Linked DNA regions of Anolis sagrei. The protein of the gene in region 1 purifies or fractionates together with the protein of each later gene. This does not show direct contact. Links are inferred from orthologs where the notes say so. Each region holds a gene or a part of one and is shown in the gene's direction. Other genes may lie near its edges. The genes, in order: CNOT2 and TNKS1BP1.

The links.
Region 2: the proteins of CNOT2 (region 1) and TNKS1BP1 purify together in Homo sapiens (affinity purification with mass spectrometry; 5 studies listed by BioGRID and IntAct, with this or other methods). This does not show direct contact. The link is inferred for Anolis sagrei from reciprocal best matches to the Homo sapiens genes CNOT2 and TNKS1BP1.

Annotation. Positions count from the first base shown.
Region 1 is NC_090025.1:143,578,915-143,587,086, forward strand, and holds the start of CNOT2 (CCR4-NOT transcription complex subunit 2), read left to right. Parts: upstream 1-4,988; 5' UTR 4,989-5,130; coding exon 5,131-5,169; intron 5,170-8,172. UniProt on the Homo sapiens protein: Component of the CCR4-NOT complex which is one of the major cellular mRNA deadenylases and is linked to various cellular processes including bulk mRNA degradation, miRNA-mediated repression, translational repression during translational initiation and general transcription regulation.
Region 2 is NC_090021.1:233,713,964-233,721,938, reverse strand, and holds the start of TNKS1BP1 (182 kDa tankyrase-1-binding protein), read left to right. Parts: upstream 1-4,757; 5' UTR 4,758-5,135; coding exon 5,136-5,222; intron 5,223-5,263; exon of another isoform or gene 5,264-5,367; intron 5,368-5,500; coding exon 5,501-5,642; intron 5,643-7,975.

The DNA of each region.
Region 1 (8,172 bases):
ATGTGGGATCTGCAGTTTAGGAAGCTTCTGGATTGCTATTACTATATACAAATAGCTTACCAGTGCAATTCTTACTAAGAGATGCACCAGCTATACTAGAGTAGGATTAGGCACAAGTGTAATCAGATTTAAGATGTCTGTTAGCAAAGCAAATTTAACAGCAGAAGAACCAAAAAGTAATGAAGAAGAGGGTGGGACAAGGGAGTAACAACTGAGTCCATAATATCGCCACAATGCCAGAACAGTTAACCTACGGTTGCCCCAAGTAATTTCTAACTTTCATAGGCTCAATAGGGTTTAGCATACCTTCAGCAGGCTTGGTTTTAACTTTCTTTTTCAGTTGGGACAAAGGCCTTGTTCAAATGCAGTTCCCTGAGTGTGGAATGCTGTGCAGAACTGAATTTATGCAAACTGGCTGCAACTATTTTTTTTTTCTTTCCTGGAAATTCTTTGGGAACTTGCAGTTAATCACTTGGGAACTGGCATCAGCACTCCTTGCAGTAGAAATGCCCTAGACCAGCTCTAAAATGATTTCCTTAAACAGAAGAGCATTGAATATATCACACATTTGTACAACCCTTCTCCGGGTTCACTGAAAACCCTTCGCTTTTGGGGGAAAGGGACATAAACCAGGTTTACAAATATGCATCCCTGAAGCAAATGGAACAGACTTGTGTTTGAAGAATGCACCATAAACATCCAGACTCTTAGCACAAAGAACCCTAAATGTGCCACTAAGATACTGAGGACAAGATTATATTTTGGTCCAATCACTAACACCAGTTGTCTTGGTGAGGGTAGGAAAAGAGCCTTTTTAATGGCTACTCCCACCTTTAAAACTCCCTTCCTGTTGTCCTTTTGTCGGCAGGCATTTTTATTTAACCAAAAATGTTGTACATACAGTGGGGTGGCTTTTTATGGGGTATGCTTTACTAATCAAACTAAATGTATATTTTAATTGATTTTAAAATGTTATTATAATAGAATTTTAATTATATTTTTAATTAAATAGCAAATGCTTTTAATTTATTCTATTTTGAAAGCAAAACAGTATATTAAAAAATCCTGGGGAAACACACATAAATATAACTATATATAAATCACTTAAAAAGACACATTTGACAAGGGCAAGAAAACTCCTCTGGGGAAGGGGATATTACTCCCATGTTGGAATTTCATCATGTCTGAAAAAGCCTGTTTTGTGAAAGACAAACCTTTACTACATGATGCAAGGGTGGCCTTGCTGCGGCAAGGTATGTGTTTGTGCTTGCAAAATATACCTACCAAGCTAATGTTATATAATGTGGGGTGGCTTTTTGTGGAACATGTTTCACTAATGTTATTAAACCGTTTTAAGTTGGTTTTAAAATGTATTATGACACAATTTTAATTGTTACTAAAATTTTAACATGTTTGAAAACAGACTGTTTTGGGGAAATAAGGAGAGAAGAGATGGCTTCTTAGCCAGGGCAGCTATGGCTCCCTGTGTTGGTAATGGTTAAAAGGTCCCTTCCAAGCTTTTTAGGCTATAAGGGGGTTTTTGGTCGGGCATGTTTTACCCATCTTATCCAATTACTGAATATTTTAAATTGATTCTAAAATGTATCATAATAGGATTTTAATTGTAGTCTCGCTCTGAAGGGAGGCATATACATTAACAAACATGGAAAGCATAGAGAAAAATAACCACATAGAAATCACCTTAAAAGACAGCAAACTCTTGTGGTGAAGAGGGTATTACTGGAATTTCAACCTGTCTGTTTTGTGAGGGGCAAAGAGAGAAGAGGTACCTCCCCGCCTTTACCACAGTGTTGGTTTGTGCTTGTTAAAGGTCCCTCCCAAGCTTTTAGTAAAGAGGTGGGGTGGGTTTATTGGGGGTGTTTTACTACTCTTTTACTAAACTTTTGATTATTGGATTTAAAATGTATTTTAAAATGTACTCTGGTAGGATTTTATTTCTTTTTTAAAGTTGTAGGCAAATGGTTATAATATACCGTTTTTCCAAATAGCAGCATGTACAAGTAAATTAAAGAAAAACAGGAAAGCCTCTCATATATATAGTGCCATACAAGTGGTCTGAAAAGCTACTACAGGTAAGAAAGCACACATAAACTCCTGTGGTGAAGGGATTCTTATTACTTGAATTTCACCTCCTCTGAAAACAGGCTGTTTTGGTGTGTGTGTTTAACATGTAGGGTAAAAAAAAATAATTTGCAGGCAGTCTCCAAATTATGAAAAGGATAGGTCCTGTAGGTTTGTTCTCAAGTTTATTTTGTTGGAACATGTACTTTTTAAAAGTATAACTCCAGCCAAATACACACACACATACACATATATAAGCTTTGGATAGCATAGGGGTCAACACCTCTGTGGGGTCTGTTTTGCTGTCTGTGCCGCTGTTGAGAAGATTCCACTTCCCTTTCTGGATTTTGGAAAATGTGGCTTGTTGTGGAGACAAGGATGGGTGATAAAGCTCCACTAGAGATACCTTTTTCCCCTGATCACTCTTCCAGGAGTGAATTTCCCTTCCCTTCTCCTTCCTAAGGATAGACTGCCCTTCCTGTTGTCTCACCCGTTCTTAATTATGAGTAGTTTGTAAGTCAGGTGTTTGTCACTCGAGGACTGCCTGTATCATTTTTAGAAGCCTCCTAGGGTCCCACTGAAAAGTGGCATATAAATTAAACAAGCATGCCTATATAAATGGCCTGAAAAGACACCATGTAGAAGAAAGGGCAAAGAAGTTCTTATTGGAATTCCATCAGGTTTGAAAATGCTTGTTTTGTGGGGCAAAGACGAGAAGGGAAATCTTCTCAGGATACTTCCACAAAGCTGTATAAAATCTACATAGAAGTTCTGGCAGTATGGACTTATGTAACCCAGTTCAAAGCAGATATTGTGAATGATCTGCCTTGATGATCAGCGGCTTAAAGAGCTGGGCATGTTTACCCTGCAGAAGAGAAGGCTGAGAGGAGACATGATGATTATGTACAAATATGTGAGGGGAAGTAATAGGGAGGAGGGAGCAAGCATGTTTTCTGCTGCCCTGGAGACTAGGACGTGGAACAATGGCTACAACTTGCACTATCCTATTCCCTTGTTCCTGTATACAGTTGGCGATGTTTTACAACAGTTCTCACCATAGGTTATTGAGTTGAAATTGTTTTATATGCTATTGGTTTTATCTTTTATTGCATTGTTTATTTTATGCATTGTTTTAGGCACATTGTGCTGTATGCAAGCTGCCTCAAGTTCCTTCGGGGACATGGAGGCTGGGTACAAAAGTAAAGTTATAGTAATAATAATAATATCACTCAAACTACAGGAAAGGAGATTCCACCTGAACATGAGGAAGAACTTCCTAAATGTGAGAACTGTTCAATAGTGCAACTCTGTGCTCCAGAGTGTGGGGGAGGCTCCTTCTTTGGAAGGCTGGATGGCCATCTGTTGGGGATGTTTTGAATGCAATTTTCCTGCTTCTTGGCAGGGGGTTGGACTGGATGGCCCATGAGATCTCTTCCAGCTCAATGATTCTATTATATTCTGGGGGCCCTGAATAAAATCTCACATTATCTGCTTTGAACTGGATCATCTGGCAGTGTGGACTCAGATAATCCAGTTCAAAGCAGATATTGTGAATGACCTGCCTTGACATCATGGGTGATATGGCCGTTTGGAAGGGAATTTAAGGCCCTTCCACACAGTCCTCTATCTCAGGACATCAATGAAGAAAATCTCACAATATCTGCTTTGAACTGGGTTATTTGAGTTCACACTCTGATAATGTGGGATTTTCTGCCTTGATATTTTGGGATGTGGGGCTGTGTGGAAGGGCCCTCAGAATAGATAGTGCTGAGAGCCTCCGAGTCAGGGGGCTCTTCCATAGAGCCCTGTATTCCAGAGTACCAAGGCTAAAAATCCCACATTATCTGAGTGTGGACTCAGGGCCCTTCCACACAGCCCTATATCCCAGAATATCAAGGCAGAGAATCCCACAATATCTGTTTTGAGCTGGGTTATCTGAGTCCACATTGCCATATATTCCAATTCAAAGCGGAAAATGTAGGATTTTTTTTCAGCTCTGTGGAAGGGGCCTCAGTGCTATGAAATTCGGGGATTTGTAGTTTGGTGAGATGCTAGTATTCTTTGGCCGAGAAGGCTGTAGACCTTCCCCACAGCCCTATATCCCAGAATATCAAGGCAGAGAATCCCACGATGTCTGCTTTGAACTGGGTGATCTGAGTCCACACGGTGGGATTTTCTGCCATGCTATTTTGGGCTGTGGGGAAGGGCCCCCAATCCTTCCCAAGGGGTGCCAGGGCAAGTCTTCCTTTCTTCTGCAACCGAGGTGTGTGTTTATGTTTGAAAAGGGCCCCTCCCTCCCTCTTTCCTTCCTTCCTTCCGTCCCTCCTTCTCAGTGGAAGAGAGGCCCCTTCCCTCCCTCCCTCCCGCTTTCCCCGGATGTCTGAGGCTCTCTTCTCGACTCCCACGAGGCCGCTCTGAGGCCTTGTCCTGGGGCCCTTCTTCCCTTTCTTCCTCTCCTTCCTTGCGAGGCCGTAAGCGAGGGCCCTTCTCCCTCGGCGAGGCCGGCGACGGAGGAGAGGCGCCGTCTCCCGTGGCCGCCGGACGGCGACGTCGAGGTCACGCCGGCAGCGTCGGGGTCAGAGGGCAAAGGTCGCTCCCCCAGCATCCTCCGTGCGGGGTGCTCAGCCATCTTGGATCCTCGGGACAAGAAAATTCATGCGGTGAGTGCGGCCCTGTTATTCTTTCCCCCGCTTCGGCGCCGCGGCTCGGCTCGAAGCCTCCTCAGGGAAGCGGCGGGCAGCCAAGGGGGGCTTCTGGCAGGCGCCTGCCCGGGTGGAGGCGCTCAAGGCCGGCCTGGTCCCGCCGGGCCGCTTCCGTTTGCTTTTGTCTCTCTGAGGGAAGGAAGAGAAAGAGAGGAAGGGGAGGAGGAGGAGGAGGGATGCCTGAGGGGAAGGGGGAAGCGGGCAAGGCCGCTCGGAGGCGCAGCGCTTGAGGACGAGGAGGAGGAGGAAGGAGCCCCGAGGCCGGCCTGCCTTCCCTGGCTTCCGAAGGGGAAGGAGGCCTCGCTCCCGTCTTTCTCGACTCCAGTGGTGGCGGCGGCGGTCCTTTATGCCCGCATCCGAGCTCCCCGCCTCCTTAGGCCTCAGGGTAAGGCACCCAGGGACCAGGCTTGCCCTTTGTACATGCGCAGAGGCTCCCAGCGGTGGCGGGCTTTGCGGCCTAGGGATCTGGAGGCTCCCGCCACCAAGCAGGCCTGCTCGCCTGCCTCCTCTTTGGCGAGTTTTTGGTGGGAAGGAAACTTGGGAGAAACCGGCGGCGTGGAAGGGTTTTGTTGTGGTTGTTTTGTAAACACGGGCCCACCTCGAGGGCTCCGCAGAAGGAAGGCCGGAGCCCTGGCCTGGGTCGCTGGCGGGACGCGAGGGGTCCTTTGTTTGCGTTGGAGTTGCGTCTCCTCTCGCCACAGAGCCGGGCCTTTTGGGGGACGGGACTCGGGTCTCCCCCCAATCCATACTGGGCAAGGAACGCGGTTGGGAGCCAGTTTCCAAACTGCCGCGGCCAGGCCACAAACTCCGGCAAAAGTGCGCCAAAGCAAGCCCTGAATGTGCCCCCGTGCTCCCCCAGTTCGTGCAATCACCGCCTGGGCCTCAGGCTGGTTCTGTATTTTTCTCCATGTAATCATCTGCACAGCGAAACCACTTTCTTCAGTTCCGGTTTGAAACTGCATTCAGTGGTCAGTGGGGATGTAGCCTTGTTCCACCCAGGGAGCAAACTTTTGCAAGCGTTTTCCCAAGTTTGCAGATGTAGACACACAACAACAACAATGCATTGTAACTATAAATTGTAGTTCATCACTCTCTGCTTTGAGTAGAATACATATTCCGTTGTAGAATTAATGCAGTTTGACACCAGTTTAACAGCCTTAGCTCAATGCTGTGGAGACCTAGGAGTTGTACTTTTACAAAGGGCCCTACCACACAGCCCTATTTCTCAGAATACCAAGACAGAAAATCCCACATTATCTGAGTGGACTCAGATCACCCAGTTCAAAGCAGATTTTCTGCCTTGATACTCTGGGATATAGGGCTGTGTAGAAGGGCCCCAAGTCTTTAGCTTTCTCAACCAAAGAATACGAGTATCTCACCAAACTACAAATCCCAGAATTTCATAGCACTGAGGCCCCTTCCACACAGCTGAAAAAAATCCCACATTTTCTGCTTTGAACTGGAATATATGGCAGTGTGGACTCACATAACCCAGTTCAAAGCAGATATTGTGGGATTTTCCAATTTGATATTCTGGGTTATATGGCTGTGTGGAAGGACCCTCAGCCATAGCAGTCAGTGTAAAATTACATTAATTCTACAGATGCTCCCCATAGGGAAGATTTCTTTACTCACTGTCTTTTAAAATAATACTATGATAAATAATTGTAGTTACCCTGTGATTCCATAATCTGTCATTCTTAAATTGCTTGAGCCCTTCCACACAGCCATATAACCCAGAATATCAAGTTGGAAAATCCCACAGTATCTGCTTGGAACTGGATTATCTGAGGGCCCTTCCACACAGCCCTATATCCCAGAATATCAAGGCAGAAAATCCCACATTATATGAGTATTTACTAAGATAACCCAGTTCAAAGCTGATACTATAGGATTTTCTGCCTTGATATTCTGGGATGTAGGGCCGTGTGGAAAGGCCCTGAATCTACACTGCCATATAATCCACTTCAAAGCAGAAAATGTGGTATTTTATTCAGCTGTGTGGAAGGGTCCTTTATTTATAGTTTACACTGGACTACTAAACATCCCAGGTAGTTGATGTCATGCAATGCTGCCTGTGTTTCTACCAACTGAAATACTAATAATTTACAAAAGAGGCATGTAAGCTTCTGACACAAGGCTGTAGGTCATTTTTGCTAGGGATTGGGGACATTTCAGTTTTGCAGTGTAATTAACATTGGTGTGAAAGGCTTTGAACTTTTGAAATCTTCAGCAAAATACTTGAGGAAAAGAGCTAGTCAGTCATCACATTTCACTTCTAACCAACTTGTCTGCCCTCCCCCCCCCTCAGTCTTAATTAATTAATTAACTAAGTATATTTCTATCCCACTCTATCTCACCCTGAGGAGGACTCAGAGCAGTTTACAATTTGGCAAAATTAAATATCACATTATACATAAGAAAAAAGCAATACATGACATAGTTAACTAAAAATCAATAAACATATAAATACAAATAAAAACAATTAAAACATATTAAGCATATTAAAACATCATAAAATGTATTGAACATTGCACCAATTCTGTAGTCATCATACAGTTTAAGTCTGTTTTAAAATTCTTTCCAAAACATGGAGGAGAAAGTGATCTGAACCTAACTTGCACAGTTATAAAAACTATACAGGCATTTATTATTTGGAAAAAAGAATCCAGCAGGTATTCATACTCCTAGCAGAGGAATCTGATATTACTCTTTGGACATGGTTTTTTTAAATGTATGCAGGGATTTCTTTCCCCTTCATACACTTTTTGGAAAAAGTTTTTAGAAGAAGTTACAGGTACTTACTGTGTTTTCTACCCACAGCACAGGTTGGATAAATGTTTAATAAAGATGGTTACTGCTTTTCTTAAACTTCTCATGTGAAGTAAAAGTTGGAATGCTTTGTATCACCAAGGGTCATTTCTGTCAGAAATTTCATTTTAGGATTGCATGATTCTTTCAGTCATTGATGCTGTCTTAAGTCCTTGATGTTGAGTCCTAAATGTTCATCAGACAACTGTAAAAAACATTGTCCTATAAAGGAAACACTTAGTGCTTATCAGGATACTTAATAAACCATACTTATTCAGCTATACTTTTACTGAAATACTATTTAGTATTTATGTAACTGAAGCAGATTTTTGTGATGTCTCTGAATAATTTTGTACCCTACACCTTGATTTTCACAAAGGAGTTTTGTGAATTAAGTCAATCTGCACAACCTTCACAAACTGAAATCTATGGTAAACCATGCAGTTTGTGTTAGTTGCAGTAATTAAAAGTTACCTGGAATATATGATAGTTATTTTGGTATGCAAATAGTGGTACTCAGAAGTGCACAATTTTGGATCTTGAGTTCACAGATATAACTTCAGTTTGGTTGAGGATC
Region 2 (7,975 bases), on another chromosome or scaffold:
CACTCACTTCCTGAAAATAATGCAGCCATTATCCAAAGACCAATAAAGACCAAACTTGGCATACAGAACCACCATTACCCACTTTCTCTAATAACCCGGGCAGCGCCGGGTCCCCAAGCTAGTCTATATATATAATAAAAGTCAAAACTTGTATGCGGAGGACAAAAGTGTGGCGGTGTATGTGCTCGCTTTCTGATTGGCTGCCACTGTGGTCTCTGATTGGCCAGCCTGAAAGTTCAAAGATTCCGATTGGCTGGGCAGCGGTGCTATTTGCATATGGTCTCTGATTGGCCAGCTTCAAGAGGAGCCCCTGGTGGAGAAAAGAGTTCATGACAGAAACGGAGTCATGAGAAGGAAATTTGCATATGGTCTCTGATTGGCCAGCCTCAAATCCAACATTCCGAGATGACAAAAAGAGGAAAGGAAAGGCCGGGGGCTGGGTCAGAACACTACCAATACAGACCGAAATAGGCACACAGAGCCCCCATCACCCACTCTACATCCTACTGCAGTTTGGAGGACTATGAACCATGGATGATGGGACTTGCAGTACCACCACTCACATTCTGAGACCGCTGTTAACCTTATCCAATGACTGATCAGGACCAAATTTCACACAGAGACCTCTCATGACCCACTTTACGTCCTGGTGTGGTTTGGCCGAGATGGACCGTGGATTATGGGACTTGCAGTACCATTGCTCAATTCTTCAGACCACTGCAACCCTCATCCAATTACCGATAAATACCAAACTTGGCACACTGAGTCTCCATGACGCACTCTACATCCAGGTGCAGTTTGAGGGAGGATGCACCATGGACGATGGAACTTGCAATACCTGCACTCCCTTCCTAAGACCATTACAACTGCCAACGATGATGGATCAGGACCACAATTTACACAGAGAGCCTGCATAACTCACTCTACATCCTGGTGCGGTTTGGAAGAATTTGACAATGGATGATGGGACTTGCAGTCACTTCACTCACTTCCTGAGGCCACTGAGACCCTCGCCAATGACTCATCAAGACTAAACTTGGCACATGGAGCATCAATGACCCACTCTACATCCTGGAGCAGTTTGGAGGACGACAGACCATGGATGATGGGACTTCAAGTACCTCCACTACCCAAGACTGCTGCAAAACTCATATAATGACCAATACAGACCGAAATAGGCACACAGAGCCCCCATGACCCACTCTACATCCTGCTGCAGTTTTGGAGAAGGGTGGACCATGGATGATGGAACTTCCAGTACCTTCACTCACATTCTGAGACCTCTGCAAACCTCATCCAATGACGGATCAAGACCAAACTTGGCACATAGACCTCTCATGACCCACTTTACGTCCTGGTGTTGTTTGGAAAAATTTGGAGATGGATGATGGGACTTGCAGTACCTTTGCTCACTTCCTGAGACCACTGAGACCCTCGCCAATGACTCATCAAGACTAAACTTGGCACATGGAGCTCCAATGACCCACTCTACATCCTGGTGCAGTTTGGAGGAGGACAGACCATGGATGATGGGACTTCAAGTACCTCCACTTCCTTCCAAAGATTGCTGCAACCCTCTTCTAATGACCAATCAAGACCACACTTGGCACACAGAGCCCCCATGATCCACTCTACATCCTGCTGCAGTTTGAAAGGGGATGGACTTTGGATGATGGGACTTGCAGTACCTTCACTCACTTACTGCCACCACTGCTACCCTCATCTAATGACTGATAAAGACCAAACTTGGCACACAGAGCCCCATGACCCACTCTATATCCTGCTGCTGTTTGTAGGAGGATGGCCCATGGATGATGGGACTTCAAGTACCTTCACTCACTTCCTGAAAATAATGCAGCCATTATCCAAAGACCAATAAAGACCAAACTTGGCATACAGAACCACCATTACCCACTTTCTCTAATAACCCGGGCAGCGCCGGGTCCCCAAGCTAGTATATAATAAAGAAGAGTGTTTGTTTGTATAGGACAGAGGAATTGTGGAGGGCGGAAGTGTATGTGGCAGCGTTCTGATTGGCTGCCACTGTGGTGCTATTTGCATATGGTCTCTGATTGGACAGCTTCAATAGGAGCCCCTGGTGGAGAAGAGGGTTCATGGCAGAAACGGGGCATGACAGAAGGAAATTTGCATATGGTCTCTGATTGGCCAGCCTCAAATCCAACATTCCGAGATGACAAAGAGAGGAAAGGAAAGGCCAAAGGGGGCTGGGTCAGAACACTCCCAATACAGACCGAAATAGGCACACAGAGCCCCCATCACCCACTCTACATCCTACTGCAGTTTGGAGGAGGATGAACCATGGATGATGGGACTTGCAGTACCACCACTCACATTCTGAGACCTCTGTTAACCTCATCCAATGACTGATCAGGACTAAACTTCGCACACAGACCTCTCATGACCCACTGTACGTCCTGGTGTGGTTTGGCCGGGGATGGACCGTGGATTATGGGACTTGCAGTACCATTGCTCAATTCTTCAGACCACTGCAACCCTCATCCAATTACCGATAAATACCAAACTTGGCACACTGAGTCTCCATGACACACTCTACATGCAGGTGCAGTTTGAAGGAGGATGCACCATGGACGATGGGACTTGCAATACCTGCACTCCCTTCCTAAGACCATTACAACTGCCAACGATGATGGATCAGGACCACAATTTACACGGAGAGCCCGCATAACTCACTCTACATCCTGGTGCGGTTTGGAAGAATTTGACAATGGATGATGGGACTTGCAGCCACTTCACTCACTTCCTGAGACCACTGAGACCCTCGCCAATGACTCATCAAGACTAAACTTGGCACATGGAGCTTCAATGACCCACTCTACATCCTGGAGCAGTCTGGAGGACGACAGACCATGGATGATGGGACTTCAAGTACCTACACTACCCAAGACTGCTGCAAAACTCATCTAATGACCAATCAAGACCAACGTTGGCACACAGAGCCCCCATGACCCACTCTACATCCTGCTGCAGTTTTGGAGAAGGGTGGACCATGGATGATGGAACTTCCAGTACCTTCACTCACATTCTGAGACCTCTGCAAACCTCATCCAATGACGGATCAAGACCAAACTTGCCACATAGACCTCTCATGACCCACGTTACGTCCTGGTGTTGTTTGGAAAACTTTGGAGATGGATGATGGGACTTGCAGTACCTTTACTCACTTCCTGAGACCATTGAGACCCTCGCCAATGACTCATCAAGACTAAACTTGCCACATGGAGCGCCAATGACCCACTCTACATCCTGCTGCAGTTTGGAGGAGGACAGACCATGGATGATGGGACTTCAAGTACCTCCACTCCCTTCCAAGGATTGCTGTAACCCTCTTCTAATGACCAATCAAGACCAAACTTGGCACACAGAGCCCCCATGATCCACTTTACATCCTGCTGCAGTTTGAAAGGGGATGGACTTTGGATGATGGGACTTGCAGTACCTTCACTCACTTACTGACACCACTGCCACCCTCATCTAATGACTGATAAAGACCAAACTTGGCACACAGAGCCCCCATGACCCATTCTATATCCTGCTGCTGTTTGTAGGAGGATGGGCCATGGATGATGGGACTTCAAGTACCTTCACTCACTTCCTAAAAATAATGCAGCCGTTATCCAAAGACCAATAAAGACCAAACTTGGCATACAGAACCGCCATTACCCACTTTCTCTAATAACCCGGGCAACGCCGGGTCCCCAAGCTAGTAATAATAATAATAATGATACGAAATCCAGCATATATATCACATTTGCTGTATCATATTGTGTTTTTGTGTCAGTAAAATAATAATAATAATAATGTGATACAAAATCCAGCATATATATCTCATTTGCTGTGACATACTGTGTTTTTGTGTCAGTAAAATAATAATAATAATAATAATAATGTGATACAAAATCCAGCATATATATTTCATTTGCTGTGACATACTGTGTTTTTGTGTCAGTAAAATAATAATAATAATAATAATAATAATAATAATAATAATAATAATAATGTGATACAAAATCCAGCATTTATATCTCGTTTGCTGTGCCATATTGTGTTTTTGTGTCAATAATAATAATAATATTCTTTTGTCTGGATAATTTACCATGTCTTTGCCTGTGAAACCCTTAGTATTTTGATATATATAGACTAGTATAAATAGACACAAGATGCGACCCTGGTAGAGGCTTGGCAAACAGCTCTGGAGGAGTATGAAAATAATTGGGATCCATTGTGGCTTGTAGAAAAATGAAGTATCTGAGCGGCAAGAACAACAATGTCTGTTCTGCCTTTTTCTCTCTCTCCTTCAGAGGCATTCTGCCTGCTTTCAAATTTCCCTTAAAAGGGAGAGACTGTGTGGTTCCACCTCCTTCGGCCTGGTGTTCAGATGCAAGCTACGGAGCAGGGCTGTTTACACTCTCTGGGCTGTGTTTCAGTCTCAGGCCGTTTTTGTCACACGGCGGGAGAGTTTTCCTTTTCATCCTCGGGTTCACTTCTGTTCTTGAGTGCTGAACTAGCAGAGCAATAGCCAGTTGGAACGGCTTCTGGCACGCACCCTCCCCATAACCCTGTTCCTCCTCCTGGCCAGGGTTTGGCCCTCTCTAGAAATCTAGTGGGAGGCTGTTGCCGTAGCGACGGGAGCAGGCCCCAGCTTTACCTCACTGAATTCCAGGGCCGGTGCCAAGCAATTGAGAAATCGGGAGGAGGGGGAAGTACTCCAGATGTTTACTCGCTGCTCTGCATATCCGGGTTGGGAGCAGACACAGCTGAGACGGAGGACCGAGCAGCAACGCTTCCTGTTGCTCGAAGGGGTGGAGAAGCAAGGGCTTGGAAAGAGAAGGGAGATTCGGGCTTGCAAGGCAGCCAAAGGGGAGTGTTGTGGCAAAGTGACAAAGGAAGGGGGAAAGGAGGCAGCACAAGAGTTCAAGGCACAGATTTGGCATGAGAAGGAGCAGTGTCTCTGGCAGGGTGTGACAGAGGTGGAGCAGGGGCAGTGCTGCGTGGAGCAGAGCAAGAGAAAGCTAACAGCTTTATGAGTGTCACATTCCCATCCTTCAACATGAGTCACGGCCTGGGTGCTTGCAAGAGACTCGCTCCCTTCATCCATGTTCCAGCCTGCCCTGGGAGCGGCCTGCCATGAAACCGACTCTGCGTCTGTGCAAAAGAGCCCATGGATCCCTATAGTTAAGTTAGTAAGGACATCTTTAATCCATATATCTCCTGAATGTGTTGGGATTAGAAAGGAAGGAACAACCAAAACAAAAGAAAGAAAGAAAGAAAGAAAGAAAGAAAGAAAAGAAAAAGAAAAAGGGAGGCTTATGCTGGAAAAGGAACCAGGTGGAAAGGTTATACCAAACTTGGGGGGGGGGGGGGGGGGCTTTGGTGTCCTAAGAGATAGGAAACCTTGTTAACCTGTTTACAGATTTATATTTTTCCACAGGTTGTCTAAACTCATCTTTTTCTGCTTTAGGGACTGACATTTATGTGGAGTTCTGAATCCCAGCTTGGTGATGTGATGGATCCTAAGCCCCAGCCGCTGTCCTCCCTCCTTCCCTGTACTGCTGCCAATGGACGTGGGGGGCCCAAGCAACCATCAGGCAACCCAGAGACAGGTATGTCCTGTGATTTTAGCCTTTAGCTTGAGGAGCAGTATCATTGGGTACACCTACACTGTAGAATTAATGCAGTTTTGACACCATTAGAACTGCCAAGGCTCCATGCTATGGAATCATTGGTGTTGTAGTCATACCTAAAATTGATAGTGTACGAGGTGGTAATCTCAAGCTTGAACTTCTGCAATGCATTTTACATTGGGCTACTTATGCACCAAGTTTGGAAACTTCCCTTTGTTCAAAACACAGCAGCCAGACTAGTTACAGGAACACCCAGGAGTGAACGTATTACATCTATACTATAGTCACGCTTCTGGTTGCCCCAGGCAAAGTACAAACTGTTGGTTTTGAACTTTAAAACCCTACATGGCTTAGGTCCAGGTTACATACAGGATCACCTTCTCCCATACAATACACCCTGCACACTTAGGTCCTCTGGGGGCTGCTACTCCTACCAGACAGAACTTGACTGTCACTCAGAGGACCTTTACATCAGCTGCCCCAGGTCTCTAGAATGACCTGCGAGAAGAAATCCGACAACTAAATTAGACCAATCTCTTCTTATACAGCTACCCAGTCAATTCTAAACTGAATTTTCTACTCATGTCTTGTGTTTGCTGTTTTAATTGTTGTTCTGTGATTTTTAATATATGTATTTCATAGAAATACATTTTAATAGATGTATTTAGCATAATGGGTTGTTGTAGGTTTTTTCAGGCTATATGGCCATGTTCTAGAGGCATTCTCTCCTGATGTTTTGCCTGCACCTATGGCAAGCATCCTCAGAGGTTATGAGGTCAGACTTCATAACCTCTGAGAATGCTTGCCATAGATGCAGGTGAAACGTCAGGAGAGAATGCCTCTAGAACATGGCCATATAGCCCAGAAAACCCTACAACAACCCAGTGATTCTGGCCATGAAAGGCTTCGACAATATTTTGCATAATGTTTTACAATTATGTGTTTTTAACTGTGTTGTGCCCCACACGAGCCTCAAGAAATAATAATAATAATAATAATAATAATAATAATAATAATATCTATCATTTTCTGCCCAAAAGGGCTGGTGCCTCACCAGACTACACATCTTAAGATTCCATATCATTGAGCCATGGCAATTTAAAGTGATGTCAAGCTGCATTAATTTGACAGTGTAGATGCGTCAATTGTCATTAAATCATGCATTGTTTTATCAAATTTATAGAGGCTCTGGATTTTCCTGTTTAGGGGTGATGGGTCATCTGAGAGTTGAGAACCAGTTGTTTTTGTTTTTAGATTACATGATATCGTTCATGCTTAATTGGAGTGCTGTAGGCTCTTACTTTTATATGCATGAGGAGGATTTTTTTCTTTGTCTTCTTTTTTAATATGGTTCAAACGTATATTCATCAACTGCTGTTTGCAGTGGAGCTCCCCCCCCCTCCAAGAGCTGTGTCATATGATTCTTCTTACCTTAAAGATATTACAGTTTATATGCAGTCCTGAGGGACTTCACAGGTGGTATTAGTAGTAATTTAGAGGCTCATCCAGTCTAGCTTGTGTCCAACGTTACATATCATCTTTAATTTTTCTTTGTGCTGATAGCACTGTGAGATTATAGATTTACAGAGGAGCAGTGCTACACTAAATGTTTCTGAGGTCTAATTGTTTTTTTTTTTACTTACAAATGAACTATCGAAGAGTGCTCTTAGTTTCACTGCCCACCAGTCCAGCTCTGTGAAATTTTATTCTTAGTCATGCTCCAGTTATACACAAATAACTGAAGCCTATCATGGGTAGCCATGTATCTGAATTTTGATGCATTGGGTAGCCATGTATCTGAATTTTGATGCATTGAGGAAGTGTTCATTACCTTATCATAGTGATTAACATCCCCATAGCTGTACCTTTCCCTGAATTAACAAGTGTATAGAACTTTCACAGTGGCTTTATGAGAAACATAATAGAAATGAGGTTTTAGATTTTGCTGTAATAGGGATGATAGCAAAATATGCCCAGCTCTAATCAGCTTCTACCCCATTTCTGTTTAATGCTGGTTGTAATAATCTAATGGAGAGAAACAATGGGTGCTTTTATACTTAGTGGTGCCTAACACAAGGTGGTCTAACCTGAGAAGAAACCACAGCTGTAAAAAGAAATTGGAGTAAAGGACTTGGAAAGAAGATGCATGGCTTTGTCATTTTTCATTGTCATTTGTCATTGGTTATAATCTGTCCTTTGAAATATGGTTTGGAAATTCAGAGCATAGATATTGTTGAAATTCAGAGCATAGATATTGTTCAGGTGTTTTATGTATGTGGGTATACAAGGAAGTGATTTCCCATCTTGTATTT